Coturnix japonica: one gene and its partner. The protein of the gene in region 2 interacts with the protein of the main gene of each other region in a pairwise test. Links are inferred from orthologs where the notes say so. Each region holds a gene or a part of one and is shown on either strand. Other genes may lie near its edges. The genes, in order: MOB3C and ZBTB10.

Evidence for each region.
Region 1: the proteins of ZBTB10 (region 2) and MOB3C interact in binary tests that used the Homo sapiens proteins (3 or more experiments, as listed by UniProt). The link is inferred for Coturnix japonica from reciprocal best matches to the Homo sapiens genes ZBTB10 and MOB3C.

The regions. Positions count from the first base shown.
Region 1 is NC_029523.1:19,376,167-19,392,459, forward strand, and holds MOB3C (MOB kinase activator 3C), read right to left. Parts: upstream 12,804-16,293; 5' UTR 12,426-12,803; intron 12,420-12,425; exon of another isoform or gene 11,910-12,419; intron 11,893-11,909; exon of another isoform or gene 8,275-11,892; intron 8,135-8,274; 5' UTR 8,071-8,134; coding exon 7,650-8,070; intron 4,350-7,649; coding exon 4,147-4,349; intron 2,318-4,146; coding exon 2,288-2,317; 3' UTR 1,141-2,287; downstream 1-1,140. Other genes in the region: ATPAF1 (ATP synthase mitochondrial F1 complex assembly factor 1), read right to left, coding at 15,141-15,335, 15,824-15,931. UniProt on the Homo sapiens protein: May regulate the activity of kinases.
Region 2 is NC_029517.1:109,617,739-109,634,031, forward strand, and holds the start of ZBTB10 (zinc finger and BTB domain-containing protein 10), read left to right. Parts: upstream 1-773; coding exon 774-1,679; intron 1,680-8,321; coding exon 8,322-9,219; intron 9,220-16,293. Other genes in the region: translation initiation factor IF-2-like, read right to left, coding at 121-775. UniProt on the Homo sapiens protein: May be involved in transcriptional regulation.

The DNA of each region.
Region 1 (16,293 bases), on a different chromosome or scaffold from region 2:
ACTCAGGTTACCTACTGTGAGCTGCCCCAATACTGCCAGCTGTTACATATGCTTACCAAACCAGCCACATGAATGGATAGCAAAGCTCTTACTCCTCATGCTGTCATTAGGGCATAGCCTGAAGCAATTGGGAACTGGCCCAGTGGATATAAAATATTAAATGAAAAAAAGATGGCTCTGTTACAGTACGACTACTCCCAAGTGATACGTCTTCATTAAAGTTTGTAATAAAATAGCATCTGGAGTGTTGCCCATATTGCAGCAGAGCTTCTTTTCTAACACAGGCTGAATAATCTTATATGTTAAAGAATCACAGATCTTCTGTCCTCCAGACAGTGCTCTCTATAGTAAGAGATTCTCTCATGTAAGCAACCTTGCTTGCTGTTGCTGCTTTACTTCCACAGAGACATGCACTTAGCTCCCCGCACTGCTGGCATTTCAGCTCTGACTCAGGCTCTCTTTACAGCAGGCAGCTGAATGCCACGCTCTGTCTTCAAGGTTTTCTCCACACTTGTGAGTCATTTGTCCTTTCCTGACCTTCATGAGGAAATCCAGCTGACCAGTCTGTGCTAGCAAAGCTGCCAGCCTCCAGAAGGAAAATAGCTGCACACATTCAAGAGACAATCTTGCATCTCATTGTGAAACTCTCTGCTAGAATCAGCATTTCCCACCTCAAAGAAAGCAATCCAGGAATAGAACTCATGCCATTAACACATCTTATGCTTTTCTAACCCTGGCGGTTTCATGATCAGAATTTTAACCCTTGAAAACAACAGCTTCTTTAATCACTTTATTTCTCTTCCTATGTTTTCTTCTACATCTCAAAAAACCAAGAGAGGAAGAATATCTCAGACCAGCTCACATCATGGTTTTGTCACCATCCACTCTGGACTTGCCAGCCCCCCTGCCCTAACACAGCCTTAAGCCCCAGAGACTTAAACTGAGTCAAGTTTTCAGCAGGCACTAGCAGAGTTTTCTTCATCGTGCACAACTTTACGCAGAGCTGCCTGTTCCTGAGGTCTCAACACAACACTGAGCTCCATCAGTGTTACAGCTGTCAGAGAAGTCCACTCAGGTTACCCTGGGTGCATTTTCATGACATCTTGCTATGGATGAGGGAAGAACAAAGGACACCAGGCGCATTCCTGCTTCTTTAATTAGTAACAGAACAAAAACGTTTGGACTTTTAATGACTGCATTACACAGAAAGTATTGGAGTGCTGTATCAGATGGTTTGTGGCCATTTTGTCCCACTTTATTTCCATGTAAAAATATACATCTGGTACATAAGATTAAAAAATAGATTTTCACAATAAAATAAGTGCTTTGAGCACTAAAAATCCACTTGTGAACTTTAGTGTTGTCTTAAATATTTACATTTCCTACCCACGTCCCCCCTCCCCAAAATGGGCAACCCCCTTTTTATACACATCACCTGTGTCTGCTCTATAAAACCTTCCCAGAACAAGGCCAAGAAGCACAAACATAACAACGTGGCTCAGACAATTGAATTCCCCCACATTAGTAATAATTAAAGAAAAAAGTCAAACTCCTGTCAGAAGAACAGTGTGTGCGCTACAGTCGAATAATGGAAAGGTAATGATTGCTATAGCCAGCATCTGCTTTCTAGAGCCAGGACGACGTGAGAAAACATCATTTGTTTTCTAGTTTTCTGGCAAGTTTCTTTCCCTTATTTTGTATCAGTGTTTCTGAGTATGGAAAATACTCAAGTAGACTTGCTGGGCCCTCTGAAAAGTGGCCCATTTCACCTCCATTTGTCATGGAGCCATTTTGCTATTAGTCCAAGTGGTATTGGATGCATCTTAAAACATCCTCAAGTCCCTTCTGCCAAGCATGAAAAATTCCTTGGGTGGGGGGGTGGAAGTCACTTTGGTAAAGTATGAATGAGGACAGGAGGAGAAACATTCATAGCTTGTGGTGGTTAAAAATGGGACACTGGCAACTAACCTCATGGAGTCAGTTGGGATCAAATGTCACCAGCTTTGCAGAGCTGATCTCAGATGTTATCACAGTTCAATGCGTGTGAGAAAAGCAACAGGCATGACTCAGTAGCCAAGGTCACACCTGCTTACAGGGCAGGTCTCGCTAACAAAACATTTGGAGACTGATGCATCCGGAGACAAAAAAAAAAAGAAGAAAGGCTCTTCTGCAGTTTTCATAGTACAGTTGAAATGCCCAGAGCAAGTCCTTGGGAAGACATCTCCCACCGCAGGGTTCATTCTCTGAATGCTGAACGATCTTGCTGAGTATGCCTGCTGATATGGCTTCAGTGGCAAATTCGTTCTGTCATTTCTTTCTGCATTGAAGGGGAGGGGGAAAAAGAAAGAAGCAGTTAGTGCAAAACACAGGTTTTGGCGAAGTGATGTGCAAAGCAGTTTGGTAGGTACCCAAAAACAATCCAAGGAAGTGGCTGTATGGAAACTGAGAGCATTCTTGTTTCCCATGGTGGCCCTTTTTGCCCTCCAGGTGGTGACAGCAGCTCACTGAAGGGGCCTGTGGTTCTGGCAAGGGATTCCATGACTGTACTATAATGCAAATGAGCACTAATTTCAAAGGGCCACAAAAAACCTCCTGGCAACTCACATCTCTGGCTTTCAGTACTGTTAGCTTGAAGTCCTTCTCCAGGGGTCTCCTCCTGCTTTGTGATATCCCTAATACATAAGCATGCCTCTTCAGTTTGAGCAGCTCCTCCAGCAGCTACTCAGGCTCTAGCGTCCATAGCCAGAATTCCCTCCTCTCACTGTCATTTCCCAGATGCTTCGTCTACAAAACCTAGTCCTGAGCTATCAGTGCTGAACTCAGGGAGGGACAAAATGACAAGAGTAAGCTCTGTGTAGGCTAACAGGCTGCTTTTCTTTGCCACTCAGATTTTGGGACTGCTGGCAGTGCCAAGATGCAGCGTCTCTGCATCATTCTCACCACGCTGTTACCCCACTTCCTAATCTTCAGGACCATGTCCTTGCTCCCCAGCCCAGCACTGCACTCAGGACTCAGCCCTCTCTGGTTGCAGGTCACTCTCCTGCACACATACAGCAAGTCATTGCTGAATGGAAGGAGGTCTCATAGGCACTAGAGGCTGCTGGAGGGTGTGGATTCCAAGTAGTGGATACCAAGAAACGGGCACACCAGGAAACAAGACATACATAACCAGTGAGAAGTGTGCCTTGTTTCCTTGTAGTTTGATCTTAGTTGCATCACACAGGAAAATCTGTTCATCTTAGAATCATCCAGAACCATAAATCATCTCACATTGCATGTGTGTCACTGGCACTGAAAGCCTATTTAGCAGTGTCAGCCTTTGCTTTGGCTATTAGCTGCTAATTATTTACATAAGCAAGCATCAGTCAAAGGAGGTGACACCATTATGGGCCATATACCAATGTTAAAGAAGAATGGTTATGAAGAAGAATGGAGGACACAGCGATGCTGAACTGTCATTTCCTGTGGCTGAGGACCATTGTGATAACAAAGGTCAAAATCACACTATATGAAGTAATTAATTAATGAGTCTGCTATTGTCATTTAGGTGTCCCCTGGTTGGATCATCTTCCCAGCCTGCCAGATTGCAACCAGAGCAGAGGAGGCAACAAATTGACTGAGAAAAAGGAAAGCAGAAAAAGAGTTAAAGCATTTAGCACTCAGGGGCATCCCTGGTACTAATAAACATGCAGCTCAAGTTGTGATTTCTCTCAGCAATTTGTCTTTGAACTCTCCTGTGCTGCAGCCCATCCCTTTGCACAGCGTGCTAATTACTGGGTTCCCTATTATCCTCCACACCACAACAGGTTTGTATAAGCCAGACCACACTCAACACAGCCTGTGACACATTTGCTTTTCTTACAAAACTGCATATGTTCTAGTTTATGTGTCAGAACTGCACATCTCTTCCCCTTACCTCCCCCCTCTGTGCTGTGTCCAAGGTCTCTCACTTTCTGCTTGGCTAATTGTTTTAATTGCTTCCCAAAGGAGGCAGCAGTGCAACTCCTGCTAGACTCATATTAGCTGCTATCTGAAGCTGTATGTCTTGCGCAGGGTTGAATCTGACCCTGCCTGTATTTACTGGAGCTGAATTCAACCCACACTGCTCTGACCTTGTCCTCTTCACCATCTATAGGGCATCCTTACCAAAGGCTCCAGCTCTCGGTGGTCAACAAGGCTGAACTCCCTGATGAAGTAATAAAAGTGCTTGTAGCAGGTATTGACATGAGCCTCGGCCCCCATGTGGATGATGCGGTCAAAGTGATGGATGTAGACGTGGACAAAGACACGGAAGAGGCGGGTGAGGATCTTAGTGCAAACTTGCTGGAACTGCTTGGGGAAGGGAACACCTGCAAAGCAGAAGCAAGTTAAAGCCATTTGACTTAGATTAAAATGGCAGTCTTAAGGTTGTAATGCCATTGCACCTGTACAAAGCTCCCTACTGAAATATCCCACTAAGGTGTTCAGGAACAGGACCCACCGTGCACCAATGACTACTTTTAGCTTTGTCTTATGCAAGGACACAATTTATTACTCTCCATTTACATCCTTATCTAAATACATTGTTCTAACAGTCAAAATCTCAGAGGTGTCACAGCCAGTGTCAGGTAGTTAAGGGAAATGCCTACAGAAAACCCGGCTTTGAAACCCCTGAAATATACTTTTTGGAAGGTTGAACACGAACCAAGTGGAACCTTTCCTGAAGGTTCTTTCTCTCCCCTGAGCAATTCAAAGCAAATTTGCATGGAGCAAAATAAAATCCTCCCTTCCCACGGTGCTACCTGTCTCCTCCCTTGGCTTCTTACTAATGCAGCACTAATGCAGCCAGCTCACACACCTCTTAGCTAAAAAAATACAAATGGTCATTTGAGTCTTCCTCACTGAGCTTACTGTTAAAGTACTTGTAACAGAAGGTTATCTTTGGTCTGGAGCGATGTCACACTCAGCCTGGTCTCACCTTGCACAAGGCTGGGCTGCTTGTGCCATGGGTAGATGGCTTGGACTCAGCAGCACACACTCCTACATGGAGAGTGGGCTGAGATTCATGGCCACTGTCCTGCATCCTGCAGCAGTACAAAACCCAGTGGAATCTTTGACATCACCCATTAGGATTCTAATAGCTCCTCTTAGGGCTTTGTGCCAAATGCAAGCACCTCTCCATGTCACTGATGAAGGGATCTGCTTCTGCCCTGACCCCTTCTCTGTGGGGCTTGCTCCTTCTGCCTGGCTGATAAGGACAGCGAGCAATCAATCTGCTGGGCTTCCCTGCAGCCAGCAAAAACACCATGCTTTATCAAAGGCTTCATGTGAGCATTTTGCACCGAGTGAGAATTCGCTGAGCAACTAAAAGCCCTAATCACCCAGCAGGGGCCTGAAACATGCTATTAGGGTGGCTCCTGTAGACCAGATTTGAGGAACTAGCCATAAAAATATTTCTTTTAATAAAGAAAAACCCATCATGGCGAGTAATTTGCGATGAGAGCACATTCCCAGACCACAGCTGAGAAATACACACTGTTCTGAACAGCCTGTCCTGAGACCAAGGATGAGCAGCTGCTGCCAGGAGCTCAGCAAGGTGCCAGCAGGCAGGCAGCAGTGCACGTGTTCTCTCCAGTTTGTCAGTGTCCTCTGCCTGATACCTCCTCCCTTCAAAGCAGGCAGTGAGAAGCACTGATATTATATGGAGAAGCATAGCAACTACAGGAGCTACCGAGTCATCTTACTCCTAATGATAATTTGATATCAGGAAAGATATCATTGGGCTGCCAAGACCTAACAGTACCTTTCTGGGCTATCCACTGCTGTGGCTTCAAATGAACCCAGCAGTATCACACATCTCTTGGGATGTGTAGCTGTGCTGCTCTTCCCTGTGTCCATCACAAGGTGTCAGTGTGTGGCTGTCCTCTGCAAATGTGGCCCAGCTGTGTTGGTGACTGGTCACCAATGGAGTCCATGGGAGTCACCAGTGGACTCCAACAGGTCACCTCTTAACTACAGCATCACTACTGCTACAGACTTTTTCTGGACTGCATGTTCTGAGTCCCTTCTCCAACATCTCACTCTCTTCTCTTTTCCATCATCTGGGTTTTCCAAAGTAAATCTCTCCCTCACCCTATGCACACGCAGACCTCAGTCTAAAGCCCATCTAGGGAAGAGGCTGATGGGCCTCCTGTATGCACAGCAGAAATGGTACCAACAGGAGCCAAGCAGAGCAGCGATGCAAAGCACAGAGCATCACAAGTGCTGGAAGCCAGGGCAAGAGCTGTAAATACATCAGGTTCTATTTCATCAAGGCACTGGTGCGTAGCGTGACTCACTGCCCCAAAATGAATTAGCACCTTCAAGTTTATCTTGGATGTTTTCCTTGAAACCCAAGACCTGATTTAATGCTTAGAGAAGTCTGTTTTCCACACTCTGTGCTGATCACTTCAAAACATAAGGAAGTCACATGGGACTGCGTGGAAAAGGAAATGAAAAGCGTCTGCATTTACGGGAAGGGAATACGAGTGGGCCTTGGATCCTCCTCACCATCTCCCTCACCCCCAGCCCTCACACACAAGCCAATTGCATTTTTCTGTGATGAAAACAGCGCTGTGAAACTATTTTGCTTTTTTACAATTGTATTTTACCCTCTCCAAAAAGCAGTAATTCAACAAGCTGCTCGATGAGTTATTGCTGCTAAGATTATTTCTAACATCCAGTCCGGTCTCTGGATCATTCCAAGAACCATCCCAGAGCCTCCTACGAGTGACGTTCCTTCCAGCTACAGACAGGCTTGGCAAAGAGTACAGGGCGTTTCCAATGCTGGTTTTCATCCAAGCCCCACGTCTGTGCTCATTTAACAATGGAGAGCTTTTGCATACACGTCAGTGCTGGCATGGGACTCATGGCCCTGCAAACTCCATCCACCAGAGCTTCCTCCCCATGTATTACCAATGGACCTAACACTGTCTGCTGGGCATTCACTGAGACACTGAATGAAACTGAAAGTGACTTCTCCTGCCAGCAAGCAAAGGCACAGCAGACACTTCAGATAGTGTTATTGTACAGGTGGTAATCTGCTCATGAAAAGGTCTATGGACATAGTTTTACCAGCTGGTAAAAAATATGCCTGCAGAATCACTTATTCCTATCCCTCCACAGGAACAATGTTTACTCTGCATGTAGTGGGGCTTTTTTCCAGCCCAGCTATGTTGGTTGGGAGAGCGGAAATGAGCACTAGAACATGCTAATTGATACGGGGTCATCTGGAAGAGCTGGAGAAGATTTATGGCAGCTGCACACCAGCAAGGAGGCTGAAGTCACTTGGGGATGCACAAAGATGCTTGAAGAAGAGAACCTGGTAATGGCCTTGGAAAAGGAAATGTGTTTGTGCAACCAGAACAGCCCCCTTTAAGTGAAGGAAAGAGGTGATAGCTGCCTTCCACAAGAACCCACTGGCCAACACACCAGCTCCAACCCTTGAACATCACCCCAAAACTACAAGAAAGCGGCTCAGAAGGGGCAGTGTCAGTCACTACAGCTCCCAGCCAAAGCAGGTCATCAGCAGAGCTCTTAGGATTGAAAAGCTCAGCGATACCAACCCAGAGGTGCACCAACAGCTTGGAAACCTACAACAACAGTCTCCTGTAGAATCACAGCACACTCACCTATTCTGGTGGGGAAGATGTCCTCGTTGTTAATGAGCATCTCAATCCAGTCCATCAGCAGATTCATGTACTGCGGGGCTGACAGCTTGGTTGGCTTCTTGTACTTGCTATCATCCTGCCACCTGTACTCATACTTGAGCCCACCCGACATGATAGGGCAGCTCTTCTCCGTGCAGTACTCTGACATGGTGCCGTAGATGAGGTTGATGCGGTTGAAGAAGTCCACCACGTGCACAGCTATCCAGTCATTGATGCTCTCACCAGGAGGCAGCTGTACCACAGCCTTCAGGTCCAGCCCTGATTTAAGGGAGGCCTGAGCCTTCTTGTACAGCTCGAAGCGTTGAGTGCCAGGCTCAAACTTCTTCCGAGGACGGAAGGTTTTGTCTTTGTTGAAGACTTGCTTCAGACACAATGCCATCATGGATTGGGCCAGCCAGGGTGAGGGCACCAGGGTCAGTGCTGAGGATCTTCAGGGTTGGAGGTATCTGAAAGGAAAAGACAAATTTTGGTCATCTGTGCACCTGGTCTGAGATGAGATAGAAGTGGGATGCTGGGAGCCAGCTTCTTATCTCCAGGGCTTTTGTCCAGAACTACGATAATGAAGTATGGTATCAACAGCACTCACCTACCTGCGGCCCTTTCCTTCCTGGCAAAAGGACTGTGCCTCTTCCCCATAAAAATAGCCCCAGTACCAATGGGACAACACAGTGAATGCAGCTGGCTGCTGGTTCACACAGCTCCGGCACCCAGATCAATGGGAAAAGGGGAGATTCTTGTTGTTGTTCTGCCCGTGTGTTTGTTCAGAGGAACAAAACCCACAGCCAAAGAAGGGAAACAGCATCCAAGCACACCATGGCCAGGATGCAACACAATGCATGGGAGTTGATGCTGCCAGCTCTCCCCACGGCGCTCCAATCCCACAGCACCCCGGGAACAGGGGATGTGACCTGGAAGTCAGTGCTCAGCAGCACTGAGTTCATGTCTTCCTGAGGCTGCCCGGTGCGGATGAGGTCTGCAGCATTTCCCTTTTTTCCTTCCTGAAGCTCCAGTGGAAATCCCGTGTGCTTGGACAGGCTGAAATGTGCACGTGCCCTGTGTCCCTCTGCAGCATTAATAATGGGAGAGCAAGGCCACAGTGAGTTCAGTGCCCTGCTGAAGTCTGGGAAGGTAAAAGACCCCAAAGCAGCCTCCCCCAGGGAGGAGGAGTTGAAGAAAAAAGATGGTTCACAGAAAGGGGAAGTGACTTACCCGAAGTCACGAGTGGGAGGGAATGGTGTCCAAGTGAAGCTCGGATGTGCATTTGTCATTAAAAAGGCATCTCTTAGCCAAAAGCTTGCTGTACAAACACTACTTTGTGAACTCAGTCCCAAGCCAAAAGCAAATCCTATTTTATCCAGCAGAGTCACTTTGCTGGAAGAGCCCTGGGCTCCCCCCAGAGTCTCTCCAGGACTCAGGAGCTGTCATGTGGGGCTTTCCACATAGCAGCAGGGGAGAGCCCTGTCGGGTGCCACCAAAGGCCAGTGGGGCCAAGTCAGAGCCTTCCCCACATGTACAGTGATGTGTTGCCACCATCACAGAGCTTGGGAGAAACATCAAGTTATTCCTGCATTGGGTTGGACCGATGCTTTGGAACATCAATGAAACATCAATTAAAAAACAAAGAAACACAGAATAAGAACCCTGCTAAACACCTGCCAGATGTTTTCCTATTGTACATCTGTTAGCTGCTCCCAGGAATAAGGGAGCAGTACCAAGTGCTGCCCCAAATGCAGAGCAGAGCCGTCCCTGAGCTCACTGCAGAAAGGCACAGCTGGATGATGAGAGTGGTTTTGCTCTTGGGATCCTTGCCAACTTCGCTACTGAATTACTGAGCCATTTAAAGGCCTCGTGAATCCTTACTGGGATCAGGGAGGGGAAAAAAAAAAGCGTTCTCCAGCAATTCAATTTAACACAAAGCCAAGAACACATCCTGGGATTTACAACCAAAAGGAGCAGGCGGAGGCACCGTGCCAGGAAGCGGATCCTTTCCTAACCTCTCTTCAAAGCTGCCACTGCACAGGGTCTGATGAGCAGGAAAATCCACCATTGGAGCTGCAGGAGGCCAGGACTGGGGCTTCAATACGGGGTACAGCCCTGCAATAGGAGCACTGGGACAAGCTGAGGCAGCAGCTCTTGCCGCATGCCAGCACGCATCCCACCGCCGAGGGGCCTGGGTGAGTGCCCGCAGCTCCCACCTTCCGTTCCCATGTGCAAAATCAAAGCTCCCCCCCTGGCATGGCTGCAGCCCGCTTTGCTGTGCTGCCATTCCCATGGTGGTGGGGCGGTGCTGGCACCCACAGCCATGCACTAAGGGCTCAGGGAGCCAAGTCAGCACAGGGTTAAAGCGTGGGGCTTTAAAGCAGGCAGGGACAGGCGAAATCCTGATTTCCTAGAGGGCTGGCAGGTCTGGGGGAGAAAGGAAATGAACTGGATGGGAGGGAAGTGAGTTCACGGTCAAAGGCAGCTGCCAGTTCCAAATTTGAGGAGGATTCTATTTCTTTAGTTTTAGGGGTTGTTGTTATTTTTTTTAACCATTTGAAAGCCACACAACACTGCTAAAACAAAGGCTTTGTTTTAAGTTAAGAATAGCACCAAACCATGTCTTTAGAAACTGGGAAAACAAAAGGCAGGGGGGGAAAAAGCAAAGTAGGGAGGGGAGCTTCCTCTGCCCACCACCATCTGTCCCACCAGTCTGAGCAAAGACACCAGGGCAGACCTGCCTTTGTGACCCCAAACTGGCTTCAATCTGGAAAGCAGTGGGGAGGAGTGACTGGGGCAGTGCTGAGCTCTGAGCTATAGCAGAGACAGTGCCACACTCTCTGCCTCAATTTCCCCAGTTTCAAAAGTAATTTCTCCCTGCTGATGGGCCCCCCCTGATCTTAAGGGCTGCAAAAGCCAAGAATTGGCTTCAGGGGAGAGGAAATGCTTTGTGAGTGCTGCTAATGATAATGACCAGGGTAAGAAGAAAGGCTCTGACACAGCACCTCCAGCTGGCAGTGGGTCTGGTGCCCAAGCCAGCCTTGGATCCAGCCCGAGACACTTACACACTTGCACAAACATCTGCCCTGGAACTGCATGCTGAGAGCCATGCTGGGGAGCACAAGCAGGGGTTGGCCCAGCACCACATAGCAAAGCTGTGCTTCAAACCTGCCCACCCTGCAACATCCCCCCTGTGCATTTCCCCGGGTGTTCCCCCAGAGGCTGGACTCCCCCTTGGTGCTATGGGGAATTGCCTTCTCTGCTCTGCAGGCAGTCCCTCTTGCCACGTCCCTGCATGGCAAGCCTGGTGTCGGGGCAGTGAGCCAGAGCCCTGAGACAGACAGACGGCATCCAGCTGCCTGCTGACCAGGGGCTCTGCTGGCTTTTTTCATGGCACCATTAAGGTTAGAAAAGCCCTCTAAGATCATCTAATTCAATCATCATCCTGTCGCCACCATGCCCACTAAACTATGTCCTTAAAACTCAGTTTTCAACTTGTCCTGGAGCAGCTGTGCAAGTGAGGATTCTCAGTGGTGGCCTTGCAGAAATGCCCCCCAGCCCAACCCTGCCTCCCCTGAGCATCCCTCACAATGCAGGCAACACAACCCTGAGCTCCAGCCTGGGGCTGACAGCACGCAACAACCCAGTCTGGCTTTAGAGGTAGAGAGGTTGGTTTCAAGGGGTTTAAATGCAGGAGGAAGATGCTGGGGCATGGCTTTAGGGCTCTGGCCCCTCTTGCTCTCCTCACGCTTCCTGCTGGAGCCAAACCCCAGCTGGGCTGGCCATGAGAAACGGGGGTTCTTGGCAGCCGATCCCAAATATAACCCAAACGATAGAACATTCCAGGAAACAAGCCAAGATGAGATGCCAGGAGAGGGATGGAGGGCCAGCACGCCAGACAGCAGGACTGCAGAGTCCCACCAGCCCCAACACAGAGTTAATCTGTGTGTTTCAGATATACTTGTGAAGAGCTATAAGCATCCACTGGGAAAGCCCCCAGCATCCGTTTCTGGAGGGACCAGCTCCCAAAGGAGGATCAGTTCCTCATGCTGTTGCTTCTCCCATCTCTGCCAACACTCAGAAATCCCCACCCTCATACAAAGCAAACCCAGCACAGTTTCCAAGAAGAGGACACACAGCCCTCTCATCCAATCTCCCCCATGTCCCAAACCACAGCCAAAGTCTCATCTCTCCAGTGGTGGGGCACCCAGCACACTTTAGGGGTGATGCTGTTTGGGGTACCTTATTCTTGGTGCTGGAGTTTTGCTGCTGCCAACTTGATTGTAGCCATAGTAAGTCCTGAGGGTGATCGCTCCATCATCAGAGCCGCGATCCCAAGTGCCAGAACTCCAGGAAGACAATTGGAAGGACACGAGACAGCTGCTGGAAGTGCATCCCTACAGATATCCCTGCCCAAAACTTCCTGCCCTCCACTAGACAATGGCAAAGCCACCTCCAGGACTGCTGCCAGCCCCAGGATAGGTGGCCAGCCAAAACACTGAGCTCCCTGCTCACTTCCAGCTATCTGCACTAACCCACAGCTGCAAACCAGGATCCCTCGGCATTTACATGCTAGCAGCCAAGCCGGGACACTCACAAAAGGGGGAAGAACTCCTGCAAGCACCCATTTTTGCTTCTCTTGAGTTTTTCTTTGCCCAACCTGCACTAAAAGCACCCCAGGAGCATCCTTAGGGTTGCAGGGGACGCAGCACCAGCTGGGATGCCGACACTACTCCCTTTTCCAGCCCCAGAACTCACCTCATCCTCAGCACGCCTGGCTGCCAGCACACAACCCCGCCGCACTTTCTGCTCTTGCTGAGTGGAAGAAAAAAAACCAACACAAAAAAACCCATTCAAAATAAAAGCCCAGAATCCGGCAGGACGCCCTGCAGCATGAAGAGCAGCCGCACACTGACTGAGGTTTTGGTTGCAGAAAGTGAGGGCTGAGGGTTTTTCTTTTGCTAGTAATGTCATATCCTGACCCTGCCGGAGCTGCAGCTGTCCCAGGGACACGCCAGCAGGCTGCTGCCCTCCTGCAACAGGGCACAGGCTGATATGTGCACACCCACGGGCATGCACATCATCCTTCCCTGCTTGGCACACTGAAGGGTTGAGTGGCAGGATGGAGTGGATGCCTTCCAAAGGAAAGAAAAAAAAAGAAAGGAGAAATGAAAACAAAAAGCAAAAAAGAAAAATGAACCTCCCTCCCCCCCAACACTTATTTCAGTCCACAGAGAAAACTGGCTTTGGTTGGGCTATGAAGCACAACATTGGTGTGGGGCTGCAGCTCCCCTTCCCTGAAGCATGGGGTTCTCAACCACAGGTTCAGCTCTAGCCTTTAAAAAGCAAACCACCTGTAAACATCCCCAGTCACCAGCAGGATGTGGCTACAGGCAGCTCGGGGCTGCGTAGCAGTTGGGGACACAGTGAGGATGTATAGGGTTCACCAGTGGTTGCGATTCAGTCTAGCTAGGGGCATGGAACTGGCATCCAATGCAGCGCGAGTCTGTGCAGAAAAGGTGACATATGGAGGTGAAATGAGGTTATAACCTTAAGTTGCACCAGAGAAAGTTAAAGTTGTGATATACTGGCACAGGCTGCCCAGGAAGGTGTTGGGGGTGTCACTATGGGGATGTGGCACTGAAGGATGTGGTCAGTGGGCACTGCAGGGTGGACTGGGGTTGGACTGAGTTATCTTAGAGGTCTCTTCCATCCTCAGCCATTCCCCAAGGGCACAGTGGGCACCAGAGTCCACCCTTGTCCCCAGGTGACGGACAGCACAGAACCTACAGGGAACCCACAGCCATGATTTACGTCCGAGTGAATCAGAATCAGAGCCAAAAAAGCAGCCAAAGGAGAAGGACCAGCCCATCTTTTTGAAGGTGCATTTTTGTCTGCTGCAGAGGAAGGAAGAGGGCGGCCTGGCCCAATCACGCAGGCAGGTGCACTGCTGAATTTATCAGGGGGAAGGAAGCAGGGAAGGAAGTGGGCCCGGAGCGCTGGTGGCTCCAGGAGGCCCCATGGGCAGTCATGGGAAGAGGCCGGCACTGCAGCAGGGCCTCACGCCAGGACACAGCCACAAGGAGCAGGGCACTGTGCCTCTAAAGGCACCACGAGTGTGGCACAAGGCTGCTCTCATGCCTCCCTGGAGCCTTCCCTTCTTGAGGCTGCACAGCCCCCAGCATGCCCTCATAGGGGAGGGTGTTCCATCCTGCTCATCGTTTTTGTGGCCCTTCTCTGGACATATTCCAAGAGATCCATGTCTTTCCCACACTGAGGAAAGCTATTGCTGGATTTACTCTGGCCTTGCACCCTTGCCAATGCAGCTCACCTAGGATACAGGGTTAGGGGAACCTTCAGTATAACTCAGTACAGCCCATTGCATTCTCAATACTAGCCCATACAATAGAAGCCTGGGCATCTTGGCATTTTTCAGTACCAAACTCACTGATTTAACAAAGCTGAGAAGACAGGCTTTGTAAACTGTGTTCGGGTAGCTCAGAATGAGGAAACATCTTCCCTCTAGTGGTTGAAACTGGCTGTGCAGAACACAGCCACACTAAGTGATTCATTTTCACCATCTCTTAGGCTCAGCACGGATCATAAATGCATTTTCCAATAGCAGAGCTGTTTTCTTCATTGGAATCGGCTCATCAATTCCACCTCTTCTAGGGCCCGATAATGGGAACAGGTGCTATTTTTTAATCTCTTTAAATACCATTTGTAGAGTTGGCTGAGTAGATGCCAAAGCGAGAAAAATCACTCTAAAAAGCACGCAGTAATTCCTCTTCACTACTCAAAAATACACAGAAATCAAAGCACGTTATCCTGTTCCTCAAGCAAAACGTCTCTAAGAAACCCAACAAGATGAAATGAATGCATCAATTAAGAAGCAAAACACTCCCAGAACAAACCCAAAGCACTTTGTTCTTGCATGGGCCTCGGTACACATCTGCACAAGGAACCTCGCACACAGAGGAACAATGAGGAGTCTGTTTTAGACCACCAGACCTATTCTTTTCTCTTGATAGACGAGTCTGTATAAATTCCTCACAAATTAAAAGCACTAGACCATGCAATTATAATAGCAGAGGGCATTTGAAATGCATTTTACAGAGAAGAAACATTGTTTGCTCTCTCTCTTGATGTCTACACACTTCATTATGTAGCTGCCCTTCTGACATTGCAGATCTCAAGGAAAAAATACAGCATGCAGCATAAGTCAGAGATGAGGGAACAGCTCATCCTGACAAAGTTACGCTGAAGTGCTTCAGTCCAGCAATTAGTTACCACTGCCTGAATGACCCAAATCCTCGTCCTTCATCAGCACCAGACCCACTTGATGATCACAGTTCCAGCATGTTTCCAGATCCCTTTTGCAGCCAACTCAAATTCACAATACAAGAGATGGGAAGCATCCCAGGTGAGAAACCCTTCCTCCTGCTGTTGGCTCCTTCTTCGCAGGTCCAGGCTCTATGATTTGTCAGAAACCTGATTAGGTCTCAGCGCCTTTCCAAGGCCACTGTGCTCAAGCTCTGCTATAACTGACATGTATTTAAATTCACTGGATCTGTGGTTGAAGGTCTCCACTAATTCATAGGTCTCAGAACGCTCCGTTGCATAGAAGAGCTGCACCTGATTTGCCAAGCACTGTGCTTCGTGGACCACCTGCGAGTTAAAAGGAAGAACTTGTCAATGCTGAGTTCTGCTGTTTCCCACTGAAAAAGATCCACTTCCATAAATTTAATTCCATTAACAAGACCAGAAATACTTCTGAATTTTCTTAATGCTTCATAAAAATAAACTACAATAACCAGAGTAAGTAAAAACAACATATGAACTGTGAACAGCAGACAGCCAAAGTCTGCTGATTTCCTTCTAACTTACCCTAGATTACTAAATAGGTAGGTTAAGGAAATCTAGTACTATTTGGGAAAGGGTCTACTTGAGATTTGAACTTGATTTCAGTTCATAGTAACATAGAATTGTTTGAGTTGGAAGGGACCATTAAAGGCCACCTGGTCCAACTGCTGTGCAGTGAACAGAGACACCTACAGCTCAGAGCCCTGTCCAGCCTGACACTGCATCTCCAGGCAACTATAGGAGAAATGATGCAGTCTAACATGAGGGAAATCAATGAAAGTTTTTCCTCTTACCAAGAACTTGGAGTCCATTTCTGCAGTCATTAGTACTATTCCTTTCTCCTCCTGCAGCTCAGGATAATGGTACAAAACCAGCTGGCTAGGAGCAGCTTCCCCTTGGGTCTGAAGGGAGGAAAGAAACTGTTGGTATCCCATAAAGAACTTCAGCTTTACTGCACATTTAGAGGCTCGACTATAAAACATTTGAGTCTTAGCTGCTATGGAAACTGTCATTTTTCAGGGCTTAAGGGTCAGTTCTAATTATTTCTGGTTGCATTTCGTAGCATCTACTGGTATTCGGAACAGTTTGTACAGACAACTCTAAAATGCTTGGCTCTTGTTTCTGTTCTGAGACTGCTCAATTTCTACCTGATTCTCTCTTTGAAGAAAGAGACCCTTATTACCATAAATTTACTGAATGCCCACAATTAAGAGCAGTTTTTCACTGATAACTGTTTTCAAGTTAAGCTGGACAATGTGTTCAT
Region 2 (16,293 bases):
TTACCAATTACTTGAGAAATTACTTTTCCCAAGGCGTTTTGAGAGCGTCGCACGGCACCAGCAGGAGAGGAAGCGCAAGGATGAGCTCAGCCAACAGCTCTTACCCACAAACGGCCTCACCTGTTCGCGGCCACAACGGGCGGCTTTCGGAGCGAACCGACCCTATAAGCGACGGCCCTAAAGCCTCGCTGGGCCGTTCCCGACAAGCGGTCCCGGTGCGGCCGGTCGGGTGGCACATAACGGTCCCGACCACCCCGCCAGCCCCGGGCAGAGTGGGATCCCTCGGCCCCTCGGTAGGAGGGCGCTGTGCGGGGCGGGGCTCGTAAGGCACCGCGCTCGTCGCTCGCTCCCCGCCCCGCCGCCCCCCGTTCCCCCTCCCTCCTTCCTTCCTTCCCTCCCCTCCTTCCCTTCCCGGCCGCCCGCCCCCCGCTCGCTCTCCCCCTCCCCTGCGGCGGCCGTCCCGTTGCATTGTGGGAGCCGCCCGTTGTTCATTTGCCATTCGACCCGATCCGGGGCCTGTAGGGACGGAAGCGGCGCCGAGCCCGGCCGGATCCATTGTGGGCAGCCCCGCGGCGGCGATCTCAGCCCGGAGCCCGCGGGGGGGGCGGCCCCGGACGCTCGTTTCTCTCGGCCGCCGCCCCCCTCCGCCCTTCTCGTCGGGCGGCCGTTCCGCTCCGCTCCGCTCGTTCCCGCGGGCGCGGCCCCTCAGCCGGGCTCGGAGCGGGGCCGGGGGGCGCCAGGCGGCGGCGGGGGGGCGCGCTCGCTCGCCCGCCATGTTCGCGGAGATGAACCGGCGGACGCTGGCGTTCCGAGGAGGCGGGTTAGTGGCGGCGGCCGCCGCGGCCGCATCGGCGGGAGGCGGAGGGGCCGAGGCCTGGGAGAGACAGGACCCCGAGGCGCCGAACGGGCGCGGGGCGGACGAGGAAGCGGAGCTGGAGGGGCCTGAGGCCGACGAGCCGGAGGCGGCCGGCGACGAGAAGGAGCTGCTGCTGCTGCCGCCGCCGCCGGACGCCGCGTCGCCCCCCGCCGAGAGGAACCGGCGGACGCTGGCCTTCCGCGGCGGAGGAGCCAACAATGGCTGCGAGGCGGCGGCCTGGCCGAGGAAGCGCTACGACGGGCGGGGGGCGGACGACGAGATGGAGCTGGAGGGCGCCGAGGGCCTGGAGCCGGAGGGGCTGCTGGAGGGCAAGGAGCTGGCGCAGGACGGCGGCTCGCTCAGCGACAGCAGCGACGACGAGGAGGACGGCGAAGGGGGCAGCCTCGGAGACGGCAGCGGCGCGGAGGGCGGCAGCTGCAGCAGCGGCAGGCGGTCCGGGGGCGACGGCGGGGACGAGGCGGAGGGCAGCAGCGTGGGCGCGGGGGAGGGGGAGAGCGTCCGGCACTTCCCGCTGGCCAGGCCCAAGTCGCTGCTGCAGAAGCTGCACGTCTCCTTCCAGGGCTCCTGGCTGAAGGAGTTCCCGTGGCTCTACTACTGCCAGGAGACCGGCCTCATGTCCTGCGCGTGGTGCACCGCCGCGGCCGCCGCCGCTGCCCCTCCCGAGCTGATCCTGGCGGGCGGCCCCGTGCCCGGCGGCCACGACGAGCTCTGCAAGGGCACCCGCAACTACAAGCGGGCCCTGCTGCTGCGGCACCACCTCTCCGCCGAGCATCGCCTCAACGAGCCGGGCAGCGCCGAGCAGGTAGGCGGCGGGTCGCCCTCCCTCCCCTTATATATAGCAGGCTCTTTGTTTTAGTTTGTTTCTGTCGGCTTTTGCTTTCACAGAATCACAGAATGACCCGGGTTGGAAGGGACCTCAAGGATCATGTAGTTCCAACCCCCCTGCCTGGCAGGGCCACCAAACATACACATTTACTAGATCAGGTTGCCCAGGGCCCCATCCAACCTGGCCTTGAACACCTCCAAGGACGGGGCATCCACAACCTCCCTGGGCAGCCTGTTCCAGGGCCTAACCACTCTCCTAGTAAAGAACTTCCCCCTAACATCCAACCTAAATCTTCCCTCTTTTAACTTAAAACCATTTCCCCTAGTCCTGCTATTGTCAGCCCTTTCCAAGAGTTTACTCCCCTCCAGGGTGTAAGTTCCCTTCAGGTATTTAAAGGCTGCAATGAGGTCATGCTTTGTCTCCCCCCTTCTCTTTGCCCACGTGCGAGAGCTTCCTCGCACGGCTCCGTGCGTCGAACTCAGCGCGAGGGTCCCGCATCCCCGGCTGCCTTTATCTGGCGGAGGAAAAGCTGCGGTGCGGGCGGCAGTTGCGTATTGCCGGCAATGTTCTTGCACTGATTTACAAACGCGAGTTACAACTTCCTCCTGCGGTACTGGCGGAGGGAGGGTAGTGTCCGGCCTGCGAAACCGGCGCTCACCGCCTTTAAATCGGCGTCGTTTCGCCGTCCTGTTGCCCGGGTCTCCGTACGCCGCCTTATTGCTGCAGGCCAGGGAGTTTCAGCCTTAAACAAACGGGTCGCTTTAGATCGAGTTACTTAGCCAGAAACGTGTAATCGCTCGGTGTTTGTTTGAGATAAACATGTGGTTTCCTGAAAGCTGCGTTAATACGCCGGCATCTCCTCTAACGCTTTTGGATTGGCCAAACTCTTTGTTGTTCCCTGCTGAACTTAGAGTTATTGCAGTTCTTGGCTGCTCTCTGAGTAAGTCAGGGTGAACTCGGAGCTTTTCATCTACATGTGTCCTAAGGGATGGTCTCGTTGAATCACCAGCCTTTCTTCCTAAGGTTGCCTGCACTGCTGAAGCCTGCTCGCATGGACTGACCGGCTGTGGGTTAGGTTCATCCTGGAGCTGTGCTCTCCCAGCTTAGAACTGAGCTCTCCTTAAAGCCCCTACTGTGGTTGTGCAGGCGTATCCATAGTCCAGCTCGTAGCTCAGTGCTTGCACTGGGCATGTTGCTTGAGCACCTTAAGGAGCTCAGGGTACCTCGGACAAAAGCTGCTGCCCTAATCTCTGGGTAGGGCATTAGGATGGCAGGCACCGTAGGTGAGTGTGATATTAGGGCTAGTTGTAAAGGAACACGAGTTGTGCGTGGAACTCCTGCAGGATTGCAAGAGAACCTTATGATTTGTGAAGCAATACCAGCCATTCAGGACACCGTTTGGGATTGATAAAGGCAGCGATCACCTTTGAGATGAGTAATGCTCCCTGTTGGGTGAGTGCCTTTGTGAGCCCGCTGCTATGCATGCTTCATGGCGGTAGGTCACTATCGGTTTCCTGCAATCTGAGGTTTGCTATTTACTCTGCAGTATTTTGGCCTGACTTGCCTTAAATACCTCCAGTTTCTATTTCGAATCTCTCATTTGCAATTTTCCTTCTCTTTATTTTGTAAACGTTCTTTTTTGTTTCGCGTTAGCATGGTATGTTCCCCGCCATCCTGTTATGGCTGATTACCCCGCAGAGGTATGTCCTGTCACTGTGCAGCCTCCCTCCCACCAGATATTGTTACTTCGTGTCACATGTGAAAGTTTCTTTTGCTGCCTGTAGCTATGTGTAAATAAAACATACTCCGAGCAGTTTTTTCTTACTAAACTCAATACTCCGTCCTTCTGTCCTCCTCTCCATACCTTGTCATAAGACTAATTGATATTGGCGAGAAGGGAGCAGCCTAAATGTTAGTGCAAGTAATGATGAGGTTTGGACCAAGTAAGGTTCTGTAAGGTAGCCGTAGCAGTGCTGGTTGTGAATAGAAACAGTGCTGGGTGCATCCCTGCTCAGCTGTGCTTGAGTTAGAAACTTCTTACAAGGAGAAGAGTTCAGTTGTTAAGGGTCACTGTAGGTTTTCTGTGGTGCACTTGTGGGTTGCACTTGCTCTACTGTAAATACGGTTAAGAATCTGTGTTTTCTTTGCGCTTATTGTGTCATTATTTTCCCCTTTCGTGTTTGTAATAGCACTCTTCCTTCTCTAGATCCATATGTTTAACTAATGCCGAAACAATAGCCCTATTTTGATCTTAATGCCTTGATACCAGATACTTGGAACAAAAGTAGGTAATTTGTACCCCGACTGTATTTCCAACATACATAATGAGGCAGCAAAGCCTTTTAAATTTAATGAAATTTGGGAGAGGCCTTTCGCTCTTTGTTTTAGAGACAATGCATATGTATTCCTGACTTGACAAGCTTCAACTGCAGGGCATGTTTAGCAGCTGCTAATAAACATATGGCGGAGTGCCACCCTTCAAGTGCAGAAGGGAAATGGTAGGTGTTAAGACAGTAAAGCAGTGGAAATTTCTGTGGGTCTGTTGGATGTTACGCTCGTGAAGAAGCAAGTGATGATTTCAGTTTATTTTTGGGGTACTTTTAATTCGGAATGCCGAAATGCATGAGTGGTTACAGCTGCTGCAGTTGAAGATATGGAGCTGTCGGTTGGTGCTACTTTCTAAGACAAAAAGCTCAATTCTTTCTGTTTTAGTTTTTCAGCTGGTCTGTGTTGCCACGTTAAAGCTTGAGGAGAGATATAATCCAGTCTGAAGCTACCTTGGGTTTTTTGTTAAATAAGACTTGTTGCAGAGATATTTCTCTTTTAATTGAAAAGAATTGAGACTTGCTGGGAAGTCACTGCCAAATGTTTTAGTTCTGTGATGAATTTAGATCCATGAGTTGCAGATTTATCATCTGTTTGTGGTTCCTGTCCTCAAAGCTGCTTCTTAAAACACTTTTTTTTTATGTGGACATAATTCGAAGCGAGCTTTGGCATCAGTGCCAGGAAAGCTTTCTCCAGCCTAGCGGGTGCGTTGGTTTAAAGCAGAAGCTCTCGGAAAGGAGGAAGGCCCTTGATGTGTTACTTTTTCCATTTGAACTGTAATTGTTTGCTTTGTGCGTGCACTGATGAATAGAGGTCGTGCTTCAAATGTAAAGTTGCATTGTGGCGTTCTAAGTTAACTTACTTCTTGAATTACTCTGGTTGAGGAGGCGGTCAGGCCTTCAGAGTAAGCACCTTCGCTTACAGTGGATTTATGCCGTGTTCTTTCCAGGCCCAGAGCTGCTGGGTTGTGCATTAGGCACTTAGTGCAGCTATGCCGCAGTGCTGTGTTTCCTGAGGGATGCTGACTGAGGCTTGTGAAGCAGCAGCGGAGCATCCTGCATGTACAGCTGATGGGGCTGTTTGCTGAGAGCATCTCCTTCGGCAGCCGCACGTGTGTAAAAACAGCCTGTTTTTTCAGCAGGAGAATTAATTTGGGGGCATTGAGAAGTTGCTGTGGAGCAAGGTGTGGCAATAGGGAAGGGATTGCAAAAATGTTGCTTTACTGCTTTAAATATGCAAACATTTGGGGTGGAATCTGTGCTCAGAGGGCTTTCCTTCACCTCCCTCCTGCTTTCACTGCTAGGAGAGCATGGTGGTGGCACAGAGAGCAAGTTTCTAGTAGTGCTTCTGATCATCCTTATTAGCTTTCAGGTGGCTGTAATTACTGAGCTGTACATACAGAGGAGTCATTTTGTCTTTGGGTGCATTTGGAGACCAGTTGGCTGAATCTGAGCTCAGTTCATGATCTGTTGCACTGCTGCTTAATCTCACCTACAGAGCGAAGCTTTTCAGGCTGATTCTGGAAATTCCACAAACAAGAATGAAAGTCTTCCATTCTATTCTGTGTGTCTTATCATTGTCAAGGATAAAGCTGTTTGCTGGTGAGGTAACCTAAGCCAGGGGAATATTTATGTTTGTATTCTGAAATTACAATTGGCATCTAAGGAAATAGCAGTTTGTGGTTCTCATCAGAAAAACAGTTCCCTTACGGTGATTGCTATGAGCATTACGTGGGTAATAGAACATTAAAAATAAATCCTCTTTATTTTTTTCCTGTAATTATTTTCTTAACTTTACCTCCCATTGAATCGCATTCTACTTTCTCTATGGAGAGGGGAGATGTTTAAAAGTCTCCAAGGGCTATGGCATTTTTTTCATTTTTTCCCATAGTGGATGCTAACTGTGTCACACTTGGTTTACACAGACTTGTTCACTGTTCTGATGGCAGGGCTTTCCTTTAGCTCTTGGTGCAGTGTTAGAGTTGGTTTCCAACAGCAGTTAGTCGCTCATGTTCAGTTCTGCAGGTAGCTGGAAAGAAAATCTGTGTGCTCTCTGTTAACTGCACATACTTATCCCTTTCTACCAGCCTGCACCACAGAATCAGAGTATCACAGAATGACACAGGTTGGAAGGGACCTCAAAGATCATGTAGTTCCAACCCCCCTGCCTGGCAGGGCCACCAAACATACACATTTACTAGATCAGGTTGCCCAGGGCCCCGTCCAACCTGGTCTTGAACACCTCCAAGGACGGGGCATCCACAACCTCCCTGGGCAGCCTGTTCCAGGACCTAACCACTCTCCTAGTAAAGTACCCTGGTACTTTGAATGGTTGTTGCATTATGTCCCTTATTTTCACTTGGCATTCTGTTGTTTTCATAACAAAGACTTCAGCCTCGCTTCTATAGCTTGTGACTCTGCAAGTCCTCATTGCGCTGCCCTTTTTTCCTTAAGGAAAGATGCACTGTACATCTCACTTATTTCTCAGCTGGATTGGTTGCATACACATCCTTACTTCAAACATACTCTATTGCTTCTGTGTAGTCAAACATAAAGAGGAAAGGCCGGCTGCAGAACGATCTTGAATATTGTCTCAGGAAATGAAGACGCATCAGCTATTGTGGCACGTGCCTGACAGTGTGAAAGACAGAAGTCACTGATGTTTGGCTGTGACTAGAGTGACGACACTTCAATGCCATCGCTTCTGTTTTTATTCTGACCCGAAGTCAGCGTAGTCAGAGTTTTGAAACTGCTCCGTGGAGTAAGAGAAAGTTTGTCTGGCTCTGAAATGCTCAGAACTCAGAGGCAGACTGAGCTGTCACATCTAGGGTGTGCTTCCTGTTTCACAGCTCTGATCAGAGGGAGCGCTCGCCTTTGTCAGAGAGCACATAGAAAGAAGTAAGCTGGGGCTGGACAAAGATGTGCCTCATCTTCACATAAAAGCCTAATTGCTAGTCGTGCTGCTTCTTTCCACTGAAGGTTGGTTTTGTTTGTTTGTTTTTTCCCCAAAAAAGTGTAGAGGTTTAGAAGTGAGTTGAACATGGCAGCAAACTGAATTTTCTCTGCAGGGGATACTGGGAAGTTTCTCTTTTGATCGTGTTGGACATTGCTTGCTGCTCAGAGATAGAAAACATCTCTTCTGAAGTATGTAGCTTGACCTCATGATTCTGTGACCTCAGCTGCCATTCTAGTGATCCACACTGGGATTATAACTTGAAGCAAGTGCTGATTTAAGGCACTGATTCCTGTATGATGAAAAGTGGCTTCTTTATATAGTCAATTCTGCCGTAATTCCAACTTAAGGGTAGTACTCGTTTTCAGGATGCATTCTAGCCCCGGTTTATATTATGAGCTCATGAAAACCCACTAACTGAATCTGACCTGTAATGCACTCGATGGCATCTATCACTTAATATAGGTACGATCTCTTTTTGTTGTTTTCTGCTCTCTTCTGGCTGCTTCTCTTGTAACAGATTTGGATCATCACTGTCTAAACAAAGCAGTGTAAAATGTACTTCAAGCCTCTCGTTACTTCAGCTTCTGCCTGAACTAATTATTTAGGAATTCATCTCTTGGTGTTTGATTGTCTGATTCTACTGCTGGGAAATGTCTGAAGCTGTTTAAGATCATTTCTTGAAAGGCTTGTGGAGAGGCATATAAGTGCATGTTGTCGGTATTTTAACCAACTAAAGGTGGTGTTGCTGGGAAGTTCCAGTGTAGTTTGATTCAAGTAAGTCTTGGCTAAGTAACATAATGGAAGCCTGACTTTTGTTTGGTCACCTGCAGCATTCTGTTCACTTGTATTACCAGTATTTAATCTTAAGCCTGTACAATGGGGACAGGTTGGGAAGATAAATTGATCATCTTTATGTATTCATCTCTCAGCATGAGCAAATGCTGAGTCTGGATCAAGGTTCTTTATTGACTGAATGAACTGGGAATGTGAGAACCATCTAGATAAATCTCAGACTGCAAATCTTTAATGTACAAAGTCAAGTACTTCATTCTCATCTAAATCTTATTTCACTTTTGGCCCAAATTTTACTTCCTTTGTCCTTATGGCAATTTTCTTTTAGTTTTGTTCCAAATATGGGAGGAAGATGCAGTCTGAGAACGTGATTCTTAGCTGATGGAAATGTTTTTTCAAACATGTGTTTCAGCCTGCGTTTATAACCAAGATTCTAATTAAGAAAAAATGGAGTAGCACTATCTTCAGTTTGGTATCCTTTTAATAGTGTTGCAGGACTAAAGAGAGCGTTTGTGAAAAGCTGATTGTTTTTCTTTCTAATTCCAGGAGTCGGAGTTACCGTCAGAACTGAACAATGAAGGATACTGTGATTTTAACAGCAGGCCAAATGAGAACTCTTACTGCTATCAGCTCCTGCAAGAACTAAATGAGCAGAGGAAGAAAGGCATTCTCTGCGATGTCAATATTGTGGTGAGTGGGAGGGTCTTCAGAGCTCACAAGAACATCCTGGTTGCAGGCAGCCGCTTCTTTAAGACTCTGTATTGCTTTACAAACAAAGAAAGCCGTAACCAAACCACTGTTACCTATTTAGATGTTGTTGCTGTTCAAGGTTTTTCTGTCATTTTGGACTTCTTGTATTCTGGTAACCTCGTGCTTACGAGCCAAAATGCCATTGAAGTGATGTCAGTGGCCAGCTACCTTCAGATGACGGAGGTTGTCCAGTCTTGCCGCAATTTCATTAAAGATGCCTTAAACATAAGTATAAAATCAGAAGCTCCAGAGACTGTTGTAGTGGATTATAACAGGAGGTCTGTTAGTAGGGATGGTATGTCTCCAAGGGATCAGAAAGTTGCCAGCTTCTGGGCAACGCGAAATCTTACCAACTTGGCAAGCAGCATAAAAACTGAGAACGACGGTTACTCTATTGACGAGGCCCAAATTGAAAGCTACCAAATGAATGACTGCAGCTGGGTCCAGGACAGCTCACCTGAAATGGCTGAAAACGAGTCTCAAGGTGAGGGGAAAGTTTTTGTGTGGAATGACGTGGGCTCACAGGGACAATCAGTTCAAGAACCTGGAAAAGCGAGAAGGAAAAACCAAACTGCAAAAAGATTTATTTATAATATACCGCCGAACACTGAAGAGAACTCAGAAGATTGCTCAGTGTTGCAGCCGTCAGTCCCATATCCAGAAGAAGATCTGTCATTCATTAAAGAAGAAGCAGGTAAATATTGCTTAATATCAATCATATAACTTAAAAATTTCCGAATCACGTACATGGCAATGTAATTTCTTTACAGGTATGGTGGGTAGGGTGTTCTAGTAAAATCAGCACTTGTTTAGCATTATTCAGCAACTTGGTTCTCCTTGTGCTGCAGCAGTGCGTCTTCAGTTAGAGAAAAGAACTGTCCAACCAATCTCATGTGGTACACAACATGTTCTTTATAACTGATGTTTGATTGCAGGTCCTTATCAACTAGTAGAAGCTAAAATCTTCGTATCTACGTTTCAATCTCTAGCTAAAGTTAGGCACAAAATCAAGAAGTGATAGCTGATGCTGCTTGCTGATTGCATGGAGATGGCCTTATGAATTTTCTTCTTTTCACTAACAAAAGATTTTTGTGATCATCTCCTTGAATCTCAACAAGAAGCAGAAATCAGCATTCCACTACCGTTGTCTGGATATCTGGGAAACTGCAAAATGGAGTAATACTGCCTATGAAGTCTTAAAACAGATAGATTTGTGAAGCAGATGGGAAAGAGATACCACAACAACATGTAGTAGAGAGAAATGACAGTTTGCTCAACTGTCCTTTAAACAATCTTGGAATGTGACTTTTCATGGGGTTGTTTATCTGTTGTATTTTTCCTCAAGGGTTACTGCTTATTGAAAGTGCTAGAATAAGATTAAATGTGTTCTAGGTAAATACTGTCGCGTAGAATTCTAAGCAGACTGTTCCTGGTGTATTTGGAACTTGGGGTAATATAGTTTTTAATTACCATTATGTTGCATGAGTAGCTGAAATATGGATTTGAAATACTGCTGTATCAGTTCTAGGTGGATTAGCAATCTTGGAAGTATGAGTTCTGGATATTTTTAGTTTCATGTTTCTGAAGCATTTTAAAATGCATGTCTTTTTCAGATATCTCAGACGCCTGTGAATGACCTTTACTTCTCAGGTTTAGATGGCAGAACTTGGAGGGGGGGGGGAGAAGGGAATAACCCATGTGTAAATTAGGTAAAACAAACAAACAAAAACCCCCAAACAAACTCAACCAACTAACAAAAAACACCAGCACTCAGACCTTGGGTGCAGAGTATTTCTGTGGAAATTTTTGCATTCCAGTGATGAAAAAAAGGAGATTTGAAAGCGGCTTGAGATTTCAGGAATGCCTCGGAAACCTGTCTATTCTGGTGGAAGTAGAGGTGACCTTAGTTCGTTCTTGTACCCCCAGTCTCCTTGAAAAGCAAAGACTGAAAGAAATCCTTTCAGGAGTGCTGTGACCAAGCCAATTGTACTGGGGCCCTGGAATGCCTTTGCCCACAGTGTTAGAAGTCTATCTCTGTTGCTGGCAGCTGCTGAGGTGTGAGGAGGCAATACGTGAATAGCAGTCCAGCAGCGGGCACGTGATATCTCTGCACTGCATTGTACTGCTGTGCATTTGTGTATGGCATATACGTGAGCACCGCAACAACATGTGACAGTAGAGTACTGCAGACTGAAGCTACGGGCACCTATATTTGGTGAGAGCAGGAGCAGACAACACAGGAGATGGATGTGCTGTTAGCGAGCAGTGTGACACAACAGGAGCAGATGTGGGAAATCAGAATCGGCTGTGCTAAGGAACTGACACTCACTCCATAAATGCTTGAGTGGGGTTACTTGTCTCTGGGTCAGTAGGCATGTCCATGCTAGCTTTTCAGGTTAGCCTGAGAGTGTACTCTTGTAAAGTGGATTTCTTGATCTTCTCTTAGTGTACCTTGATTAATGTTGTGAAGTATTCTTGGCCTGCAGAGAGTTTCTTCTGTGTGAAAGGAAAATGGAAGCTGTGTTACAGAAATGTGCTTGTTATGTGCCAACCACTGTCAGGCTTTGGATCCACAGGGTTAGATCTAGCCTGATGTAAAACAGCTCTGAATGTGTATGGTAGGGCCTTCAGTACCCATATTAACAGATCTATCTACTCATGCTGTGTAGCACTACTTGCTAGCATGCATTTAGCTGCAGCAGCTTTAAGAAGGGCAGCAGGAAAAAGTCTGGAGCAGGAATGGGGATCTGAGTTGTGAGAAATTGCACAAATATCAAGTTTCTGACGCAATTTAGTGCGTTTTCTACTTCTGATTTATTTGGGTTAGGCAGTTAAGCTTTTTTTACTGTTTGAAATATTACAGGGAGTAAGTATCCAGCTAACAAATGGCTTGTTCAGCAACAGAAATAAATGCTTGTTTGCATTCTGCAGACTTGATATAGGTGTACTAGAGCTGTCTCATGGAAGCGTAATGGGTGGTGGGGCAGTTCAGCGATGATTGAACAAGTATTAAACTTGTTCAGTTGTTTGGACAGAAATAGAATCATAGAAACATAAGGTTGGAAAGGACCTACAAGATCATATAGTCCAACCATCCTCCCATTACCATTGCTATCACAAGCCCCTAAACCATATCTCACAGCCCCTCATCCAGATGCTGAAGCTGAGGTTTCCAGTCGTTTGTTGTACTGCAGAGTTAACTTGTAAAATATATTTCATTCTACATCTTGATGAAAAGAACTGCATTAAATGCATTGAATTTATGCTGTGGTGTCAGTCCAAAATCATGGAAAGCTTTATGATCGTAGAGAATGAATTTATTCTGTAAGTATTGTCAACTAATGATCTCCTTGGTACTTTGACTGCAACATGAGAGGTCTTAGGTAAATAATTACATGTTCCTGTCAGTACTAGAACCACTTTGGAAGCTATGTTTAATATCTTTGTACTAAAACCCTCTACAAAATTCTTCTGTGAGAGATGGTGGAGGTAGAGTATGATATCACTTACTTTAGTCTTAGTTATGCTTCAGTAGCTGGTGTTTTCTCCTTTACTGTGTGCAGGTTAAGTAAAAGTAGATTCCATGGATGACATGTGCATTTGTTCTATAAAACACTCTGTAATTCTTTCCTTCAGATCCAAGAAAAGGTGCGAGAGACAGGAGAGAGAGAGAAGAAAGAGTGGGGAATTGGAAGAATGACAAGAATGGGTTGTAGAATAACTTGCAGGTTACATGATAACTTTTCAGTTGTGGATTAAGTTTTTTGTGAAGATAGAAAAATGAATAGGCTGTTAAAAATTCATGAGAAAATGTTTTTTGGAACACATATAAGACAGTGAGTTTAGAAGAAAAAGAATGAATAGTAGATTCCTGTGATGCAAGCTAAGTAATACGCTTGCTGTCTCTTTGGTTGCTGAAAGAGAGAGAGTGAGCTTCTACTGTTACACTTTGCGGTGTGCTGATGGGGATAACTAACACCAGCTGTGGTTATTAGATGTCTGATTACATGCAAAGTGGGTTGCTGTGTCCTTGATGATGGTTTTAGGTTGTTTGGCTTTTCTGTGGGGTGAGAAAAAGTACCATAGGTGGTGGCATGGTGGAAGGGAAACCAGTTTAAGGACTGCTGCTCTCATGAAAGCTTAAAATGGAATCCAGTGCGTGGAGAGGGAGAAGGAAAAAAAAAAAAAAATAGCTGAAAGCCATTGAATTAAATAAGATTCTAAATGGAGTTTTTGATTGAGTACTACTAGGTAAGTGTTAGATAAATTGTACTAGAAGTTTTCTCAGTGATGCTGTTTCCTCGTATCCTGGTGAAGCAAATGTGAATGTGAGTTTTCTTGCAGATAGCTATGAGGGTACATCAGTTCTCCTTCCTCTGCATTACCAGTGGGTTTATATTTGACACCTTTCCTGTAAGCAGTAGCACTTTGGGCTTCAAAAAAGCTTCATAAAGATGAGTTTAGAAATCAATATGACATTTTTGCTTCATTTATCTACTTTTACTGATGCTTTCAAATGTTCCCCAGGTTTAACTATGGGAAATAAAGTAGCTGAGTTCCTTCTCACTGAATTGTACAATCTACTTTGCTATTTTTCTTTCTAGTTAATAATCTGTTAAAAACGCCTTTGCTGTTGTTTTTAACAACCAGGGTGCATCCTGCAATTAACCATTTACCGAGTTGGAAATAACAGTGCATTCAGTTTGTATCTTTTAGTCAGTTTCCAGTTGATGAAATCTCAGTGATTCTAATTAATATTTTTAGTGTCTGTCTGTAGATTCTGTGAATTCACACCACTTCTGACTAGTTTTTTCATTTGAGTTTGTGATTTGGAATACATATTCTGTTTGTAGACTTCAGAACAAAACTGTCAATTACTCCTTACGATTTCCAGAGCTGACAGTGTTGAATCTTTAGAACATATTAATGGGGTATTTGGTTGGTGTTGTGTAGCTAACACCAGATCAATTCTTTGCATGATTTTCAGGCTACATAATGTTAGGTTATATATTAGTTTGATGGCATCCGAGGAGGGGGTAACAAAACAAGATGAAAACAGCCTTTTGTGGAAAAAGGTTTTTCTGGGTAACTTTGTAGGAGTTCCTAGAGAAGGATTTGAATTCAGTTGGCTGGAAAACAACTACTTTTCATAACGTTACAAGTAGTGTCTAAAGCTGCTTATAAAAATGTGCTAGTCACAGTTTTTGTCATATGTTGCTCCTTCAAGTCATAACTTGATAAACAAGTTTTACTATAGAATTAATTAACTTTGTACTTGAAGAAATCAAGACTGATGTGCTTGCCTGAACTGTGGCATATGAAGAAAACTAATACAGCATCAGGAATATTTTTCTCCAATCTTCTTTTGTGGTAATATACCCTGATTGGACAATTAAAATTGCTTAATGAATGTTTAACCTCTCTATTTGCTCCATTTCCTATCTAATAAGGAAATAAAGGCCCCATGGATTTTGAAAGACATCCAGAGAGAGTCCAACGATCAGGAATCTGGCCAATCCAGTAAATTTGCCTCTCTTAGGGACGGTCTGGAATACAGGTGGATTCCCATGTTCTGGTGGAATGGACATAAGGACAGTTGTCCTTATGACTTTAAGGGATGCAATCAAATCACAGGCAATATTTGAATTATAAGAAATCATCAATCTGAATTGCTGACTTAATCTTTCCATTACCTCGACTATTTAAGAAATGATAAGGATTGTGGCAGCAACTCCATAAAGAAAAGCAGAGGCTGCATTTCTTCCAGATTCATTTGGGATATGCAGCTCTGGCTGCAGAAGTTAGCTGTGCAATTCTTTCAGATGTATTCCCTCCTGTGCCTCAAAAAACATATCTCAGGAAGTCAAATCTGATTAATTTTATAACATGTCGAGCAGTGAAAGTGATTTTGATACAAAAGTCTAAGATCCTCTTGGATTGCTGCTGACTTTAAAGGAGCATGTTTAGAATACAGATTCCTTAATAGATTACATGTATGAAGCCAAAAGTCTGGTAAAGGATTTCTAATAATAACTGTCTTCACTGACACAAAAACAGCCATAAGATTCTTGCTTAACTTCCAGATTTTCTGCATTGTCAGACCTGTTCAATTCAATTAAACTACTGTAACTCCCTATGAGAGGTTTTACACTAAAGTGACTTTGTCTCGTAAGGGTTTATAGAAGTATAAGTGAGTCAATTCCTCTTCAGTTTCTTGGGGTTGACAGGCCTCAGGGTTTGACTGGTTGTTCTTTTGCTTTTATTTCTGTTTTGTTTGAGGGAAAGGTTTGGTCAACCTCAGCATTTGTAGGTATGGTATAATGGGCTGTAGATTTCAATTGTTGTTAAGTTTGACTAGGGAATGTTTCCTTTCACTGTATTTTCAGTTTCTCCTGTTGAGTTCTTGCTGTACAACCATTCATCCTCTGTGCACTGTGAGGATTCTGAAGTCGTATTGTACAGGTCTCAGAGTAATTTCATGGGGTTGAAGAAATTGAGATGGGCACATTTCTTCCTTGTGCCGATTTCTGGCAGGCATCAGTAAATATACACAGCCAGAAATGTGTTTGCATTATGGAAACTTTATACAGTAGTATTCTACTCATAGTATGGCAAGGTTATGTGATTTGTTTGGGAAGATTTTCGTGTGTGCTTCTTGTTTGTTTTGCACAAATCCGTGTTTTTACAGATCTGTATCTTAGTCTTGTACCTTCCTTTTCTTCAAAGCTCTACGAAAGGACAAAATGCTTCAGTATTCCTGGTCAGGGTTTGGCAGTGTCTGACTAGAATGGATGATCCTGAGGTACCCATTTTGGTCAAGGATGCTGCTGCTTCTAAGACTGCCTGCTGCTAGAGAAGCTAAATTGAAGTATTATTGAATATTTTCTTAAAACAACTTAGGATATAACATTGTTCTGACCTAAACAATCTACACAGCAGTGGTATCTGTGCTTGTGTCTTTATGTAAGAATAAATACCAACAGAGACATGTATGATTATTATTTTTGTGATGATTTTCTTGATTTAATTTAATTATTCCTTGAAGGGCCTAAGAACAACATGTAGCAGATGAAATGGTAGCAATAGCAACTCTCGATACCAGTGCAGAAAGAGCAGCTTTACTTTGTGGAGAACCCTTGTACTAGGGCTGAAGTTGGCATAAAGTTTCCTTTTTTACTGGATGCCTTTTCTTCTACGACTCTGCATCAGTACAGCTGTGTAGTAACTGAGGAAAAGAACCAAGGGCCCTTTGGGAGCAGCAAGTTGAATGCGAGTCAGCCATGCGTCATAGCAGTAGTGAAGGCTAACCTTAGACTGTCAGAATTAGCAAGAACGTAGCCAGTGTGCTGGGGGAAGAGGTAATTTCCCTGAATTCAGGGCTTGCAAGACCACATTTAAATGCTGTGCCCTGTGCAGGGCAGCCTAGGATGGGAAAGGTATCATTAAGCAGGCGAGTGTCCAGTGGGTGGGTACTTAAGGAAATAGGGAACTGGAGAAATGTTGAGGAGAGTCTGTGATACTGAATTTATTTAGCATAGGGAAGCTGGAGGGGTGTATACCTGCAGTCTGTCAGCATCTTAAGTGGATTTATAGAATATGAATCCAGATACTTGCCCTTCTGCTGCACACCTCTGAAAAACATCTGTCGCAGCAAGGGAAATTCTGCCTGTCCACAGACCGGACTGTGAAAGCAGTTTTGCTGGAGCAGATTGTGTACTCCATCCTTGTAGACATTTAACACTTGGCAAGGCTCAAAGCGAGATATAAT